Linked DNA regions of Drosophila melanogaster. The protein of the gene in region 3 interacts with the protein of the main gene of each other region in a pairwise test. Each region holds a gene or a part of one and is shown on either strand. Other genes may lie near its edges.

What was found. The genes of interacting proteins can lie anywhere in the genome.
Region 1: the proteins of org-1 (region 3) and Sidpn interact in a two-hybrid assay, tested with the Drosophila melanogaster proteins (one large-scale study listed by BioGRID).
Region 2: the proteins of org-1 (region 3) and CG6470 interact in a two-hybrid assay, tested with the Drosophila melanogaster proteins (one large-scale study listed by BioGRID).

What each region holds. Positions count from the first base shown.
Region 1 is NT_033779.5:19,026,110-19,031,280, reverse strand, and holds Sidpn (uncharacterized protein), read right to left. Parts: upstream 3,572-5,171; 5' UTR 3,225-3,571; coding exon 3,176-3,224; intron 2,481-3,175; coding exon 2,169-2,480; intron 1,981-2,168; coding exon 818-1,980; 3' UTR 501-817; downstream 1-500. Other genes in the region: hook, read left to right, coding at 40-278.
Region 2 is NC_004354.4:18,512,329-18,516,798, forward strand, and holds CG6470 (uncharacterized protein), read right to left. Parts: upstream 2,540-4,470; 5' UTR 2,382-2,539; coding exon 2,009-2,381; intron 1,502-2,008; coding exon 861-1,501; 3' UTR 501-860; downstream 1-500. Other genes in the region: HisRS (Histidyl-tRNA synthetase), read left to right, coding at 3,262-3,354.
Region 3 is NC_004354.4:8,449,042-8,457,064, forward strand, and holds the start of org-1 (optomotor-blind-related-gene-1), read right to left. Parts: upstream 6,029-8,023; 5' UTR 5,254-6,028; coding exon 5,091-5,253; intron 3,240-5,090; coding exon 2,851-3,239; intron 2,775-2,850; coding exon 2,542-2,774; intron 2,473-2,541; coding exon 2,316-2,472; intron 2,219-2,315; coding exon 2,057-2,218; intron 1,131-2,056; coding exon 1,063-1,130; intron 120-1,062; coding exon 1-119. Other genes in the region: CG32713 (uncharacterized protein), read right to left, coding at 7,965-8,023.

The DNA.
Region 1 (5,171 bases), on a different chromosome or scaffold from region 3:
AAATATAACAAAAATTTACAATAATTGTTGAAATTTCAGCTCTGGATGCTAGCGTACTGGAAAAGAGTGCTGATCTCGTCGAGGAGGAGCCCAAGCCGAAGATGAGTGTGATGGAGGAGCAACTCATGACCTCCGCTTTCTACAGACTGGGTGTCAATGCCCAGCGTGATGCAATCGACTCTAAGCTGGCAATATTGATGGGCTCTGGCCAGACATTCCTTGCCCGCCAGCGGCAGTCCGCGCCCCGCAAATCCCTAAGTGCAATGAAATCAAAGTAGAAAGCATGAACCTGAAGAGTAGGCTAAGTCTCATTTCTTGTTTGAAAACTTATATAACTAATATATAATACAAGTATTTATTGGACCTCCGCAAGGATCTATATCGTATTTATAGTACATACCTTAATAAAATTGCTAAAATGATTCAATAGAATTACCAAAAACAAGAACGTAATTTTTCCCGTACCCCGACCACTTTCAAAACAGAATTCAAGTTTTTTTGTAAATATTTTTGCTTTATGTATTGAATTAAATACATTTAACGCAGAGTTCAGGGCAAAAACAAATGCATACATAAATGAAAGGGTAGCTCTCCTTGGCTCTGGAACCCATCTTGTAGAGAGTCTTGGGCGTTGGCACAGGTTGGAAATGCAATTTGGAGAGATGCAGGAGCTACACAGACGAGCGGTAATAACAATAGGTGTCATCCTCTACTTGGCGATCAGTGGGGGCAGCAAACCGCCGGCTGCCGGCTGGTTCTCCCCTAACTAACTGGTGGTGTCTACATACTTAGTACGTAGGATCTCTGACCTAACGGCTCACCAGGGTCGCCACATGCTCTCATCTTGCCCAGCTGCTGCTGCAGCAGCTGCCGCCTGGGCCATGTAGTGATACTCCTCCTCCTGGCGTTGCCTTAGAGCCTGACGAGCGGCGTTGCTTGTCTGGGGTCGCGGACTGGTCGCCGGAGCCTCGTTCTCATTGGAACCGATGCCACTCTCGGATCTTGGTGAGGATTGCTGCGTGGCGGGCATGGACTTCAGTTCCGACATCGAGACGCCGGAACTGACAGACGCTGCCACCGAGGCAGGTCTCTCTTGGTGCACCGTTGGCGTTCCGGCACCGGAAGTAGCCATTGCCGCAACTGAGGCTCCTGCTGAAGCGGCCACAGCCATGCTGTTGGCATAAGCCGCTGCTGCGGCAGCGACATGGGCAGCCTCCAAGCCTCCCGGAAAACTGGGACTCAACTTGCCGGCCAAATGTGGTTGAACCCGTTGCAACTCTATCAACCGCTCAAAATCCGTTCGGGTAGCAATCGGATCCACCAGCGGCTGGGCACTAAGGCCAAGGGCCGCTGCCAGCTGGACATAGTGGGGCGGCAGGACCAGGACTCCGTTGGCGGACTCTGGTTGCTGCTGCACGTGCGCCTTAAGCTGTTGCTTGTACTGCTCCAGGACATTGGCGCACACCTTGTTGCGATCCTCCTCGTAGCTCAGCTCGCTGGGAGCGACGGCATCTACATGCGGCGACGTCTGGCCTTGTGTCTGGCTTTGCACCTGTATTGGTATCGGAGTTTGCGCCTGCGCCTGGAGTCCACGATTGTTGTTCTCATCCTGGGGTGCTGGCGTGACGGGCAGCGTCCTCTGCTCAGCGGCTACCATTTTCAGACCCTTGCTGTAGTCCACTGGATTCGAATCCTGGCTGCTGTAGTCCAGCGAATGCTCCTCGGGCTGCGACTTCTTCCCGTGATTCAGGTCGAAGCAACTGCTACTGCTGGGGCTTTCGGCAAACGCGGCCGTCGAATGGGGACAGATCTCCACGTCGATCTCGGCTATGCACTGGTCCAGGTGGCGCAGCAGTCGCGCCTTGGAGCCGGGCTCCGCCAAGGTGGGCATGGTGCCCATGGGCGGCGGTTCCGGGGTGGCCAGGTAACGAGCCACCTCGCGAGCGCAGTCCGTGTAACCAGCTCTGTATTTGTTAACCGCTGAAAGAAAATCAGGATTTGAATGTTATTATCTAAGTTTCAATATAAGAAGTTTGCCTAGGTCCTAAATTTAATGAATTTTATTTTAGATACAGATATGTTCTTCAAGATGTATTTATAAAATTACATTTTGTAGCGAAAATGTAAAGTCATAATACGAAAATTTTTACTTTTATATGGAAACTTACTGGGATCGTCGAGATTGCGATGCCGCTGAAAGTGGCGAACGGTTAGCTCCAGGATGTCCGCCTTCTCCAGCTTGGTGTGCTTCGCCTGGCCCTCGCCGTTCTTGGCATTTTGGGTCTTGGTGGACTCGAGGATGAGGGCCTTCAGGATGGCCAGGCTCTGGTTGATTCGCGCCCGCCGGCGCTTCTCCATGAGTGGTTTGTTTGTCCGCTTGCTGATGTCCTGCGACGAAGTCACATTCTGCGTTGAGCTCACCAGCCCGATGGACTTTATGCCGCTGCCATTAGTTGAGCCGGCGGCGGTGAATCCGATGCCTGGCGGAAATACAGAAGGGTCAATAATTAATACAATTATCGCTATAACCTGAAAGTTTTTTGTAATTTAATCATTTATAAACAAAGTTATCTCGTTCGTTTCAGAACTTTTTGAAGTTGAAATTCTCATGTTCAGTTTTTCAAGTTACATTATTTTGCTTATTATCAATTTTTTGTTGATTCAACGAACTTCGGTTTTAAAATTAAACATCTATATCTATATATCATCAAACTCAAATGAAATTCTTTTGAGTTGAGGTTGCGAGTTCCGAGTTGTGAGCATAATGGAGCTTCATGTTTAGTTTCAAGACACTTTGGTGCTTTTATTTCATTTTGCTTTTTGTTTAAGATTATTATAAAAGTAATCAAAAAAATTTTTTATTGTTTGAAAATTATTTAATTTGATACTTCTTGGCCACAGGTGGCTTTTTCTTTGCAAAAGTATGTTTTCTATTATTTTAACTTTTGTTTAATGGTCACTAAGTAAATATAAATATATTAAACAATGGTGAGCCATGTGGGACGTTTTTTTTTTGTGGAAACTTGTTTTCTATAATTTTGTTTGCCAAATATTTATTAGTCACATTTCACTTTAGAAGTTTAGGACACGTTTAAAAGAGCAGCTTATCATTTTGAACTTCTAAGTCCTATTTTCTGATAGAATTCAACTTATAAAGCACAAACTTGTTTATTACCAGGTGCTGATTTATTTTTTGAGTAATCCTTATCACGTTTTGCTGTCATTTTCTCATTTTTACGAAATCCAAAAGAATTCGTTGCCCGTCGTCAATTAGAATGAAATGCCTCGTTTTCTCAATTTGGCTTGATTTGGGTTTAATATTTTCGAAACTTTCAGTTTAGAATCCACCCGCCAACAATCACGTCTTTTTGGTGGTGGAATCAGGATTCAAATTCCACTCGACGAGGAGGACACGCGTCCGTTCTGTTCGAGGATTCACGGCTAACTGACGGCGAGCAGCGAAACAATTGCGACTTTTCACTTCGTCGCCTGTCGGCTGTCTGGCTGGCAATGGGGTTTTCCGATTTTCCGCTGCCGCGTGCGCTTGGCTTGTGCAAAATTTCCCGACTGAAATGCTTGGTTAGCTCATGTTGCTGCTGCTGCTGCTGCTTTTGCTGTTGGCAGTGGCACGAGCCATCGTCGTGTGGCGCAGCAACCAAAGCAGATTGGAGTCAACCGACAATAAAAGGAACAACAACAAAAACATCAGCGACAGCAGCAGCAACAACAACAATAGCAACAACAACAGCTCTAGCAATCAGCAGGAGCGGCAACAGCAACAAAGCCTGTGGATGTGGCAGCAACAGCAACGCCTGGCTGCCTGCCACGTTAATGGTGGTTGTGGTAATGGTTGCCCCACCGACCTCCACACACATACACAAACACACATAGATTTGGCGAAGAGCTTAACGACGCAGCGGAGGCATGTTGCCAGTGGGCGTTGGGTGGATGGGCCCGTGGGCGGAGGGAGGGGGCTGAGTGTAGCAAGGGGATGAGGGATTGGTGGCGCGCTGGCTGCGGCAAATGTCAGGCAGCCCAAGCGACAAGCCGGATCGACGTGCCGCCATTTGGACGGACGGCGTGACCATGTCTGGCTTTCACACACACACACACACACACACTGGCACACCCTCAGTCACAGACACAGGAACTCACTCATACACAGGCATACAAATCAATTCGCTTAGGCGCAAATATGAAACAACCCAGCACACATGGCGGATGAGGGTTATTTTGGCAGAAAATGCAAAGCATACTTTTCAGGGCATGGTGTAGGCTAACAATTTAATTGATTAACTAAAGCAGGCTAAATGAATAACTTATTATTAGATTGCAAGACTTAATTAGTTTTTATTTTAAGCAAAATATTTATTTGATTCCAAATCATTCATATTACCTTTTTTTCTCGCCACAACAAACTGTCGACCGAAAACGTGCTGCACACTTTGTTCACTGGGTGGACTGCGTCAACGGCGGGTTAGCCGGAGCCGGGATCTGGTACGGGGTTGTGGCCTGCGGGCGACGAAGCAGCTCCTGCTCCTTCGACCGACTGGCTGTGGGTCGTGCGGGGTCAGTGGGGGTGGGATGGCTGAATGGATGGATGGATGAGCGGGCGTGTGGGTGTTTGCTGTCGCTGACTTTGCCATTCGGCTGCCCGCATCGAAATCATAACACCAACGAGGCGAAACTTCTGCGGCGCAGCAGTCGTGGCAAATAATAAGCCAGGCCAGCGGAAAACGGAGGAGGGAGCCAGCGAGGAGCAGGAGCAGGAATGGTAGGAATGGCAGTAGTGGCTGGATCCAGACGAAGACAACTGTGACAGCGGCAGCAGAAAGGACTATTAGATAAATACGATTGCTGGTGCGAGTTTTTGGGGGCGCAATGCCGTGGCAACAAAGTTGATGGCTACAAATTGGCAGGGATGTGGGCGGGCACACATCCACATCAGCGGCGGCTTAACAAGGTGCGCAACGCATTGCAATTCCCGTCGATTTAAACAGTCCAAATGCGGCCAACAACAAGTGCCCCAAACTGCGTGCCATACAATATGGAAATTCCACATTGCTGCAGTGCGCCCACATGTGGCGGGTTCACAGGACTCCGACACTGCGTGTATCCAAAACCAATCGAATTTGTACGTAACATAATGCGTCACAAGGTTGGCAGGATAA
Region 2 (4,470 bases), about 10 Mb from region 3:
CTGATGGCTTCGATCCGCCCGAGTTGCCGCTCATCGCCTATCTTGTATTCCCTGCACACGACCCACTACCGCCAACGCCACCGCCGCCGCCGCAAGCGCGAAAGAGATAGCGCACAGAAACTTTGAGCTTGACCGCCAAAGCTCGGCACGGAACGGAACGGTGAACGGTGAACGGTAAACGGTAAGGCAAGGTAGCGCCGGTGACGCAACGGACGTGCGTGCAGTCAGCTTCATTGAGCGAATGTATCGATGCACAGCTATCGTATCGATTGCTCGAGCTGGGTATCGAAGCGCTTCTGTAATACATCGATATCATTCTTCTTTACATATTAGATAGTGGACTAGAGAGGAAGCGATTTCTCATCGATTTTTTCGATAAATTTAAAAATATATATACCCATTTTAGTATCTTATTATGCTTTTAAAGCCTCAATGGATTATGATTCTTTTACCTTTCCGCCAAGTATCTAAGAAATGACAATTCATTGCAAGTAAATCTTCTGTTTAGTTCAAATATTTAATTATATTCAATACATTTGCATCAACGTGCTGGGGACTCTTAATTTAGTTTTAATTGACCGTCGTTTGTGGAATGTGACTATTCAACGCCAGTGTGTGTTTCGGTCTTCAGAACAGGTGAGTCTCCCACTAATCGTGTCATTGTGCTCAATTCATACTTCTAATAATTTTGCCTTCAATTCCACAAATTTTGATGATCCTGGTAAACAAATCAAATACAGTTGAGCTGCATACGCCCTGCACTTGACAATTTTCCTTTCGTTTCAATGGATTCTTCTGGTGTTTGGAAGCAAGCGTTGGTTCTGCATCCAGTTTCTGGTGAAGATTGGTAATGAGGACGACTAGCGCCAGCGCTCGTGCACTGCCGACTCGCGCATGATAATCTTCTGAAGTTTTTCCTGCTGGGTCATCTGATCCTGCTGGTTGGTGGCACTGTTTCCCTGGTGGTGAACCGGCTGCTGCGCCCGCTGAAAGTTGGGCAACGGCGCCTTCTTCTCGTGCGCCAGTTCCGTGAAGGCCAGCTTGCGGCGCTGCTGCGGCGGTATCTTCTTGCAGTAGCTCAGCAGATGGATGTGCAGCGTGCGTTCCAGGTCGAAGGAGCGATCGCAGTACTTGCACAAATGGACGGTGGTCAGGGTGGTTCTGCTCTCCCGCGGTCGCCGTGCACGGAAGCGCACCTTGAAGTCATCGTCGTGGGTGTGCCGGTGGGCGCCCAGCAGCGATCGGATGTGAAACTTGGCACCGCACACGCCGCACGAGTAGCTGGGCAGCTGCTGGTCCGTGGCATAGCTGCCCAGCGGCTTCAGCTGCAGTCGGCCAAACGGTCCGCCCTGATACTCCCCGCCATCTCCTTCATCATGATCGGGCTTCGTCGTTCCGTTGGAGGCTTGCTGTGCGGCCATAATGGCTTCCATTTCCGCTGCCTCGGCCTCGGCCTCGTAGTTCCGGGGCGTGAGGCCATTGCGACGAGGAGATAGCAATACTGTTGGAGAATGGAGAATGGAGAATTGGTTAACTCAATATGAGATCTTAAATTAATATCACTTTTAATATACTATATTAATCAGTTAAGTACTATATACCAAATTTGGTGTTAGTAGCTTTAATAAGGCCCAAGATCATATAGATAACAGGTGTCCAAATCGATTATATTTAATAACCTACAATTGTAATCGTTGTTTTAAAATAAATTGCACTTGAAACTTATGTTTCGTGATTTATATGAGTATAATAAACCAATAAAGTACTGTACACCAAATTTGGTGTCTCTTGCCTAACTAAGCACCAAGATCATATAGAAAGAAGGGTCTTAAGTAGATGATATATGTAATGATGATAAATATATACTGCTGTTTCAAGATTTTAAAGAGTTCTAATAACCAATAACGTATTGTATACCAAATTTGGTGTCTCTAGCTTGAATAATACCCAAGATCATATAGAAAGGTGCATCCCAAATCGACGATATGCAAATGTATTTGTAACTTACGATTGCAACTGCTGCGTCTTCTGTTATCGTAGTTGTTCGTCTTCTCCAGCGGCGAACTCTCCTCCTCGTCGGTCTCTTCCTGAGCTGGAGCGTGTAGCAGACTCCTCTTGCTGCGCCTGCGACGCTCACCATGGGCATGGCCAGCCATGCTCGATCCTTCCCGCCCTGCTCCTCCGCCTGCGCCAGCCGTGCTTCGCTTGGCCGCCCGAGTGGATGCACTGGCTCTGTTCGACTCGGACAGGTAGATCAGCTTGCGCTCCACCGCCCTGCGCGCGTTCTCCACCTGAGCCTCCACGAATTCCTGCGGCTGAATCCTGGAGCATCCGGTCCGCTTGGCGCGCTTCACCTTGATGGGCTTTTGCGGCTTGTTCATCTCGTGTGTGGTGTGCGTGTGTGTTTGTGTATGTGTAGCGTGTCTTATTAATTTTCAATGCTATTTTTTTAATTTCAGTTTGTAGTCAGTCGGTGTCGAAGGAATACTGAATCTAAGGGTGATGCTTAAATATATACCAATGAAACTAAGCACATCGCCTGCTGGGCAGGGAAATTTTAAATGTTGAAGTAAAAAACATTTTTCCAATCTTATATTTCATTTCGAATTTTTCGATTTTTAAACAATTTAACAATAAACAACAATTTAAACAAAAAACGCTTCTTAAAATATTTCAGGATTTGCTATTTAAAAAAAAATATATTTTTTTTAATTGATGATTTGTAATATATGTAGTTTTGACAAAAAATATTCTATTTAATGATTTTAGGATAGATAAGTTTGTGCTGTAATCGAATCAACTTATTTTAACTTATTTGAACTTGTTTAAAACAAAAAACAAACAAGATCAACTTTACGCAATCAAGTGACATGAACATTTTTATTTAAAAAAAAAAAAAAACGATAAAATTAGCTAATAAATTGTAGTGCAGTTAATATTACTAACAGTGGCCAGCATTCGTGTGTTGATTGTTGTTAATAAATTATAAATTATACACTTTACATGTCCGCCAGCCCAGTTATCAACCACGGTTTGAGTTCGCACTAGCGCACGTTTTCCCACCACGCGACGAACGGTCACATTGACCACCGCGTGCGAATTTTTTTTTTGGCCAGCAGCGCAGAAAAAGCAGCTGAAAGCTGGAAAAGACAGCATAAATCGCCGTGTCGATTCGAGACGATTGAAACGCCGCGCGCCCGCCTTTTGCAGTGGACTGTCAACCGTTTGCCGTTTTTCATTTTTGGCCATCGAGCACGGAATATGAGTGATACGCGTGAGCAGATTCTGGAGCAAATCAAAGTGCAAGGCGATCTCGTCCGTCAATTGAAAGCAGCGAAGGAGTCGAAGGAGAAGGTCAGTTTTTGGTCGTACTTCCAGTTGGAAACCGACTCCCTCCCTCCACCCAGCACTACCACTTCCACCATCCAACCCCCCCACCCGTCAGCAACGCGTCCGCCTTCCAGTGTCATCCCCCTTTGTGTGTGTACAATGGAATAAGTGCAATTGTTGCCGTAATTCCCGGCCCTGCTTTCGTCATCAAATTCGAAATCCCACTCGCATACATATTTCATCAGATCGTCATGCAGTTGAGAATAAGGGAAATAACAAAAAACACACACATGCTGCGCTGGCATTTGGAGTTGTTCGAAATCTTCGTTTTTGCAGTGTAATAATTAGATGAATGTAACATCGGAAGAGCGGTGCAAAGGAAAAACGGCAAATTAAAGGAGCGCGCAGACTTTCACATTTACATTCGCATTCGCACATTCGTGCCACTCTGTTGTTATTGTTGTCTCGCTCTGGCCAACGGCAAATGCACTGCTTCTGTGTGCGTGTGTGTTAGTGTTGTGCACAGTGATGCCAAACTATTGTCCCGACTATTTGGCTGGAAAGTAGCTTAAATTAGCAGTGCTGTCCGAAGCTGTGACTAATAGAAGCAATTGTTTATATTAATCTCTTGCTGATGTAAGTCTACTGATGCTCACTTCAAATCTTTGGCTGGATTTCCTTGAAACTGTGCTGAAAACAGTTGGAGACTTCTAGAAAACTCAATAATCTTTTGTGTTAATAAGACCTTAAAGTGATTTTTCCTGTACTCTTTGATGTTCTAGACGCTGTCCAATTAGAACAAGTATTGTACAGGTATTAAATAATCCAATTGGGATACTTAGGATATCTTTCAGATTTGAAGTTGAAGCTTGCATGTTCAGTAATCGAAAAAAGATTTAATTTCATAATTTTAGATTTAGATTTAATTAAAGTCAAGTAGCTAAATGAGACTAATAGCTGGATTTGCATCACCAAAGTGAGTGCTCTATGACCGACTGACTGACTGAAAAGAGAGCGACTGGTCAAACAGGAGGCATGTACAAAAGGCACATGGTGGTTATAGCGATTATATCAAAAACCTGCTAGACCACAATCAACCGATCCAAGACTTGACGACTGCAACATGTGATTTGGGCTATG
Region 3 (8,023 bases):
GCTGTTGCTGTTGCTGCTGCAGTTGCTGCTGCTGCTGCTGCTGCTGCTGCTGTTGCTGCTTCATGCGCGCCTGACTTTCGTGACTCATGGAGGACATGCTGCTGCCACCGCCAGTGGTTCTATAATGTCAAACAATGGCAATTTATAAAAATATATATACAATATATAACTAACATGAAGCAACATTTACAGCTTAAATCTACAGCGAATGCTGCTCAGTTGGCCAAGTGTAAAAACGTGCAATATTATAAATATTAGTGTTATGATTTGTAACATAACCAGGCCGAAAGCCATAAGCCAAACACTCGGAGAAAAGAAATGAAAATTATTTGAAGTATTTCCTCGTAATAAACAAGTTGCCTAAGCACCACGATCGTAAACAAAATTGGGGAATTTGTTTACACTATGCTACCAAGTCGCGGCCTGGCAAGTTCGACAAATATGAAAAGCCCTTCGAATAAATTGTTTATGCCGCCCGGCACATCTGTCAGTCCACCCATCACCATCATCATCAGTAGTCCCATTCCCATTCCCATTCCCATTCCCTAAACCATTCCCATTTCCATTTCCATTCCAGCTTCACATTCTCGGCATTTTGAAGTTCTTTTGTTTTTGAGTTATTGTTGCGTTATTTGAAGTTTTTCAATATTTTCCGGGAATATCTATGCCGAATGTCGACCGAATGTCTAGCTCCACTTTGGACATTTGTGTATTTCAAGTTTTGAAAAGTGGGTCAATTTGTTTATCATTTGTTATTATTATTACATATTTACATTTATACTACTTCTAGACGTTCGAAAATTGTGTACTATTATTATTATATATATTTTGAAATTTATTCATTCAGCATTTTGAAATGCTCGTGTCAAAAATCTAGAACTAATTTTAAGCACATGTTTTTTTTTTTTTTAACACAATGCTAGACAATCAAATTACTTTGCCACATTTTCGCAGACAAATGAAATCGCATTAAAATATAGTTGCAAGCTGATTTCAGCTTTCATAGTTAATAGGTAAAAATAAAAAAAAATTAAAATAACAAAAAGATTTGGAACTACTTACACATCGTTGGTGCCATCATCCCGAAAGCCTTTGGCGAATGGATTGCTGGAGATCTTCAGCTGTGTCACCTGCAAGACGGCCGGAAAATTGGTGGAAAATATTTTTATTCGACTGGAAAAGCGCTTGAGGCATGCCGACAAGCTGGCGGGCCAAACAAATAAATTAAATACCCAACAAATTAGTGAAAAAAAAATTAAAAAAAAAAAAAAATAATAAAAGAAAATATGTTTATGTGGCATATGTGGCATTCCGCTGGCGGCGGGGTAAAAATGATTTGCGATAAATTCGAGGGCGGGTGGAAAAAGTGTTAACACCCCCACATAAATAATTTAAATACTTGCCCCAACGATGTCTATGGTTATATTTTTAGCCACCCACAAAATTCCCTCCCCCCTCCCCCTCCCCCTGGCCATCATTATGAATCACAACCAAGACAAAAAAATGTGGAAAACCGAGGGTATACAATGTACATATGTATGTCGAGAGTTCTTTCAACTTGCGATTAGATATGCTGTTCACTGTTCATTACTAATATCAATGCACCCACCTGATATCAATCCCACCTGATAATCTTATCTTCCCCATTTTTCGAATGAAAGCCACAGTGCATTGGAAACGTGGTTTCTAAAATCTTGTGTATTTGTGTATGCTACTTTTTTATTTTTAATATTTTTTTTTTCGGGTTAGAGTATCTGCATGGTCTGTGCTCGCATTTCCAATTGCTGTTATATATACATATATATATTCGCTATGGTTGAAATTGTGCTAGCTTTGGCCGCCGTTTGTTATAAATTATGGGAAAAACATAAACAATAAGGCCAAAATGGCACAAAATGGTCGCGGCCTTTTTGGCCGCTTCGAATGCCAAGATGAACTTATTGATAATACATATAAATCATTATGGTAAATGTTTACAAATAGCAACCAGCATATTTCGATTAACAATATATATCATATATTAACAATATATATATCATATATATATCATGCTCACCCGCTGATTCTGGTAGGCAGTTACGGCCGTAAAGCTCGTTTCCGGAAAGATGAAAGTGCGAAAGTGGCTGGAGTGCTCGTTCTCATCCAAGGAGGCGTTCTTCGGTGGCAGATAAACCAGATGGAAACGCGGCTGGTAGCGATGCATGGAGTTCAGAATGATCTGGAGATGAAGAGGCAGGATTTGAATATACCTATTTATCTATCTATCTAACTATCTATATATCTATCTATCTATCTATATAAGTAATGAAACGTACATGTCCATTTTCGTCCAGCTGGTTATTGGTGAGCTTCAATTTGTCAAAGGACACGATCTGCTTCATCCAATTGGAGCCGACGGCTGGCGAGTCGGGATGCACATGAATCCTGGGCGGGGAAATGGGATCCGCCTTGCCAGCCACCACCCAGCAGGAGCTGTTGCAAATTGAAGTGCATCATTTTCATCGAATTCCATGTGGCCATGGCTTTTTAACATTAACTTACTTGTGAAAGGCGTAGCGATAGCGTTTGTCATCCATGGGCACAAAGTCCATCATGCAAATGTAGGTGGCATGTGGATCCAAACCACCGATCCTCACCTGAAACGTGGGAAACATGCGTCGGCCCGTCTTGGTGATGATCATTTCGGTGCCCTGGGCATGGAACTGATCCCACAGCGCCTTCGTCTCCAGCACCACAATGGCCTGGGCCAGCGATGGATGCACTGGCTCCGATTCCTTAATTATCAATTGGAAATCATATATTTTAAATGATCTATTATTTATTTCGTTTCCCATCGTTGAATTTACTTACACCTTTGCTGATATTATGGCTATTGGGCTTCACTGTACCGTTCTCCGCACTGTTGTTGTCTTTTTTGTGCTGTCCCTTGAACTTTTTGGACGCGGTGGATGCACTGACTCCGCCAGCTGATGTCGTTGTGACTGCCGTGCCGCCGGCTGTTGGTGCCATCGAGGCTTCACTGTGTACGCCGGCATAATCGGTTGGCAGCGATACGGACGACGATGACGACGACGACGACTGATCCGGGCAACTGGGATTCGAGATGCTGCTGGTGCTGCTGTTGCTGTTCGCGGTGCCAGTGCTGCCTGTACTGTGCGTCTCGATGTCCGCCAATTTGGCATCGATCTGCTCCAGCGGCTTGTACGAGCTGCGATCCTTGCCAGCCGTTTGGATGCAGGCTGCAGTGAAGCACAAGTTGGTGTTACAGTGCGGGTTAAAGTGGAGGTTAAGGTGTGGGTTAAAGTTGTGGTTAAAGTGCTGGTTAAAGTGGTGGTTAAAGTGCGGGTTAAAGTCGCGGTTAAAGTGGCGGTTAAGTAGTAAAAGTAATGTAACATAAAATGCTGCTCATTAAAAGTGAAGAATGATCAAGTAATCCATGTGGCTATGTAAAATATGTAAAAAATCTATACAAAACTCGATTTACTTTAAAGAAAACTATAGTTTGGATATCCCTATAAACTATCCTTATCCCTTTATAAACTAATTAATAATGAAGATATCTCAATTCAAGCCCCTGTATTTTTTCATATCCCACTGACAAATGGGCGGAAAATATGCGACTATAAATCAAACACGTAGCGCGTATAAATTCTATAGCAAGTGAATGGGTTTTATATATATAAAATATATATGCATGTATATAGCTGCTGGGATTTGCTAATTTCATACTCAATGTGATTTATGCGATTTAAATGAGAAAGTGGGGCAGAAAGCACGTAGACGCCACGCCGGCGCAGATTTCTCACTTCTGGAGCTCGCAGTTCACAGTTCTGAATTCTGATTAAAGGAGTCTTGTAATAATATCACTTGATGATATATCCACACACCGACTTCTTTTTTTTTGTTTTTTTTGTTTTTTGTACGTTTCGAGTTGCGAGTTTGGGGCAAATGGGACAACATGTCCAATTATAAAAGAGGCGTCTGAGTAGCGGCGGCTGCTGATTGAGTTGCATGCTCTAAATTTAGGATCTCCCCTTTTCGGGGGATGCCTGTAAAATGGTATGGTATGGTATGGTATGGGATTGCATGGGATGAGATGAGATTTTCAGCAATTAATTGTCACTGGGCTCGCAGTTGCGGGAATTGCCGCAATGGCAATCAATGCCGCGAATGACCCATGACAGGTCATTTAGCCGCTTTAGCGCTAAATAGTTGCCCATTTTCCTCGATTTTTTTTTTTTAGCATTTTTTGCTGCACGAATGAATTCTAAAATCAATTAACGTTTGGCACAACAAATCGTTTTTCTGTCACATGCACAACATCAAACAACAACAAACACGAGAGAAATGCCACTTGAAATCTCGGGGATCCGGGAATTCTGAGCTAATTGATCGGGTTTTCTGGTTTTCTGATCTTTTGGTTTTCCGATTCTCTGGTTTTCAGTTTCTCAGTTTCTCAGTTTTTTTTTTTTTAAACTTTTGGATGTCATTTGTGCCGCCGCTGCCATGCTCGGTGTATTTTGCTAATTACTCTATCGCAAACGGATTCCATTTCAGTTTTTTGGGTCACTTGCAGGCAGACAAATGATATGGAATATATACATTTGTTTGCTAGCAAAATTCCATTGCCTGATTTTTGAACAAAAAACATAATATCGAATAGTCAAATGGAAAATATGACTTTTTTGTTGCTTCGCCTTTTGTTTGCTACGCGATACTTCTTTGATAAATATTTAAAGCATATATTTGAATTTAAGAAGTTTTAGTTGTACATTCGATTGAACTGAAAGGTAAAGCTAATAAAATCTTGGAAAAATATGTTTAACTAGTAGTATGCTAATATAAACTAAAAGCCTATTTTCTAGTTTAAGTTTTGAAACAGATAGTAAAAAAAAAATATACTTTACAGGACTTAAAAGTCTAAACAAAAGTAAAAGTTCATGCAAAAGTTATAACATATTAAAAATCTACTTGTATGCTTGTTTGCGACTTTTAAAGGTACACAACCTAATATCTTAATATCCGATTTAAAATACTCCGCGGTAGAGTTGCCTAATCCTCTCCAGCTTAAGTCAACTCAAACGACTCACCTTCGATCTGCTTCATGGGACTGAGTCCGCCGGTCATGTACGGCGATGTCCAGTAGTCGTTGCCATAGCAGTTGTAGTCCGTTAGGCTGGTGTCCAGGAACTGCATGGATGTGGTGGTCATCATGGCGCCGGCGCACTCAGTGGGGCCCATCAGGTGCGTCATGGCGAGCGTGATCGTTGGAATATATATATATATGATATATATATATGATGGCTGGATATGTGATGCTCACAGTGGAAGAAAGGAAATCGCAGCGAGTTCTTGGCCCATTTATTCCATTTATTCCGGCACAATTTGTTTTGATCTCGAACGTTATTCGCGCAGTTGTCAAATTTGATTATTGCACCCACACACAATCACTCACTCATTCACTCACTCACTCACTCACTGTGCACTGCAAAAAAAAAGTATGTAGTGGTGCGAAAATCCAACGCCAACCTTTCGCTGTTGTCAATCAGAATCGAGATCGAGTTCAAGAATCGAATGAAAAATCAAATTAATTCTCTTCGAATTGTTTTTATGGCCCGATCGCGTTGACTGGCGAAAATTTGCCCGATTGTAGTTTTTTGTTTTTTGTTTTTTTGTTTTTTGTTTTTAATTCCCTGTGTTAGCTGATTGATTGACTTGAACTTCTTTTATTTGTTTTCTTTCTAATTCGACTGGCAGAAAGCGTTGAGTTGTCTCAATTGCCACCTTCTTCCGGCCAAGTGCGAACTGATTATCCCGTATAGTATCCTATGTTTATATCTCGCGGATATATCGATCTGATCTGATTTCGAATGCGATCTCTGGATGCCTAGATCTCTGATCACGCACACATCCGTTCCGTCAAGCGCTGGTCCGCCGAATGAGAACAACTACTGCTGCGGCTGCTGCTGCTGCTGCTGCTGGGCAGATGCATCGCTGCCTCTCGAGATCCCAAGATGCCGCATTGTACGGACCATCTCCCCAAATCGAGAAATCTATCCGCCAATCGCCGGCCGCAGCATCCAAATTTAGACTCGCCAGCCGCACCAATCGATCCACCAATGGCCGCACGGCCACCTCCTCCTCCTCCATCTCCTCCTCCTCCTCCTTCTCCTTCTCCTCCTTCTACTCCTCCTTGGATCGCACCGACATGTGTTGGCTCGCCTGGGATCTAGCCTAGTATCAAGTGGATGAATATGCCGCGCAGAATTGAGCGTAGGGTGCGCGCAAGGCATTTACCAGATGTGGCTACAGTGAGGCCTAGAACTTGGTGAACACTTGGGGTTTGCTATCTGCAACTCTTTGTTTGGTTTTATGCAAACTATGCTTAACATAGTTATATTTATGTAATCTAATTTGATCATATTAATAACTTAATGCATGTAAATAGTATAGAGGTATCCTTTAGAGTATATAGATCACTGTACTCTCCACACGTTTCACTAATTTCTGCTCCACTGTTTACTTCTCTCTTGTTTTTTTTTTTTTTTTTGAAGGGGCGTGGTCTTTGACCATAAACAGCAGGCGGTGGAGAAGATCAAGAAGGAGGAGGAGCAGGTGATCCCCACTTTTGCATATTGTTTTCTTCATTCTCTTTTTTTTCAGGGGGGCGCGCTGATCAGTGGGCGTGGCCCGTGGAGTGGGTGGCCGACCAGAGTCATGGGCCTCATTTGGAAAACGCTTTTAATTGGACTGCCGCACGCATGGTGGTGCTGGTTGCTCGTGGATCTCGCGGTGCTCCGCTCAATGCTGCAGTGCAGCCGAGATGTTGCTGCTGCTGTTGGCCATAAATACAAATTGCGCCATAACCTCGACACTAAATAAACCGTAAAAAGGAAAACGGAATATTAAGACGTTGGCAAGGCGCACCCAAAAAATTCAATTCATTTGGAATAATCATAAGTTTTTGGAAAAAATTGCATTAAACATAAGAAATACGAAGAGAATATGAATTAATACTTAATACATAAAAAAAAGGATTACTGCTAATTTTTCATACGAAATTTGAATTAGCTGTGAGCAACATTTGCGCTCAGTGTAGCGGCGGCCACCACCTCCGCCACAAGAGGGAGTGAGATGGGCGGTCGAAAATGGCGTCTGTTGGCCATTGGAGCCCGGAATGTGGGCCCAGCGGAGATGGAGATCCGGGGAAGCCGAGAAAACTGGACCGATCAAAGTGAAACAGCCCGATTAACCGGGTGCGTCTGCTTTTCATCAGCCACGGCCATTCCAATTAGTGGGTACATACATATGTATACATATAGATGGTATATCTATTATATATAGCATGTAGTAGTATATGTTACCTGGCACACGGGGTCTCCAAGTGAATCGATTTGTTTACCCTCCCTCCTACTCACCCCTTCCATATAAATCTACGCATCCAGTTGCGTCCTGGATTTATGGAACAACTGCTTGTTAATGTTTTTCCCTGATTTTCGTTTGCCGCACTACTGTTTACAATTATTTTGAGTTAATTTTTTTTCCCCTTTTTTTTGGCATTTTCAGAAGCATTTCGATCGCAGCAGATCGTACCATGCAGTCCATAAATAATACATAAATTTGAAAAATTGTTATGGCATTGGCCATGCCATTTTAGTCGTTAATTATTTGTTTGAGTGTAAACAATTGGAAATGAAATGCTAACTGCTTCGAAGAAATTACTTAAATGATTCATAAATTCGATATTCGATCTTTTTTATCGATTATATAAATATTATATATAAATGAGTGTAATGCATTTGTTGTAAAATTTCCATCATGGACGAAATCGACTAAAGGTTTATTATTGTATCGTAAATTTAGATTCCAAATCGAAGCGTTTGGCTTAAAGGAATTTCGAAATTAAATGACGACTAAATATTTTTAATTTAAGATAATTTACAACAGTCTACTTCTCATTGTCGTTATTCGTGGCCTTCTTCTTGAGATCCAGAGAATCCATGAGATCCAATGGAGCAATCCA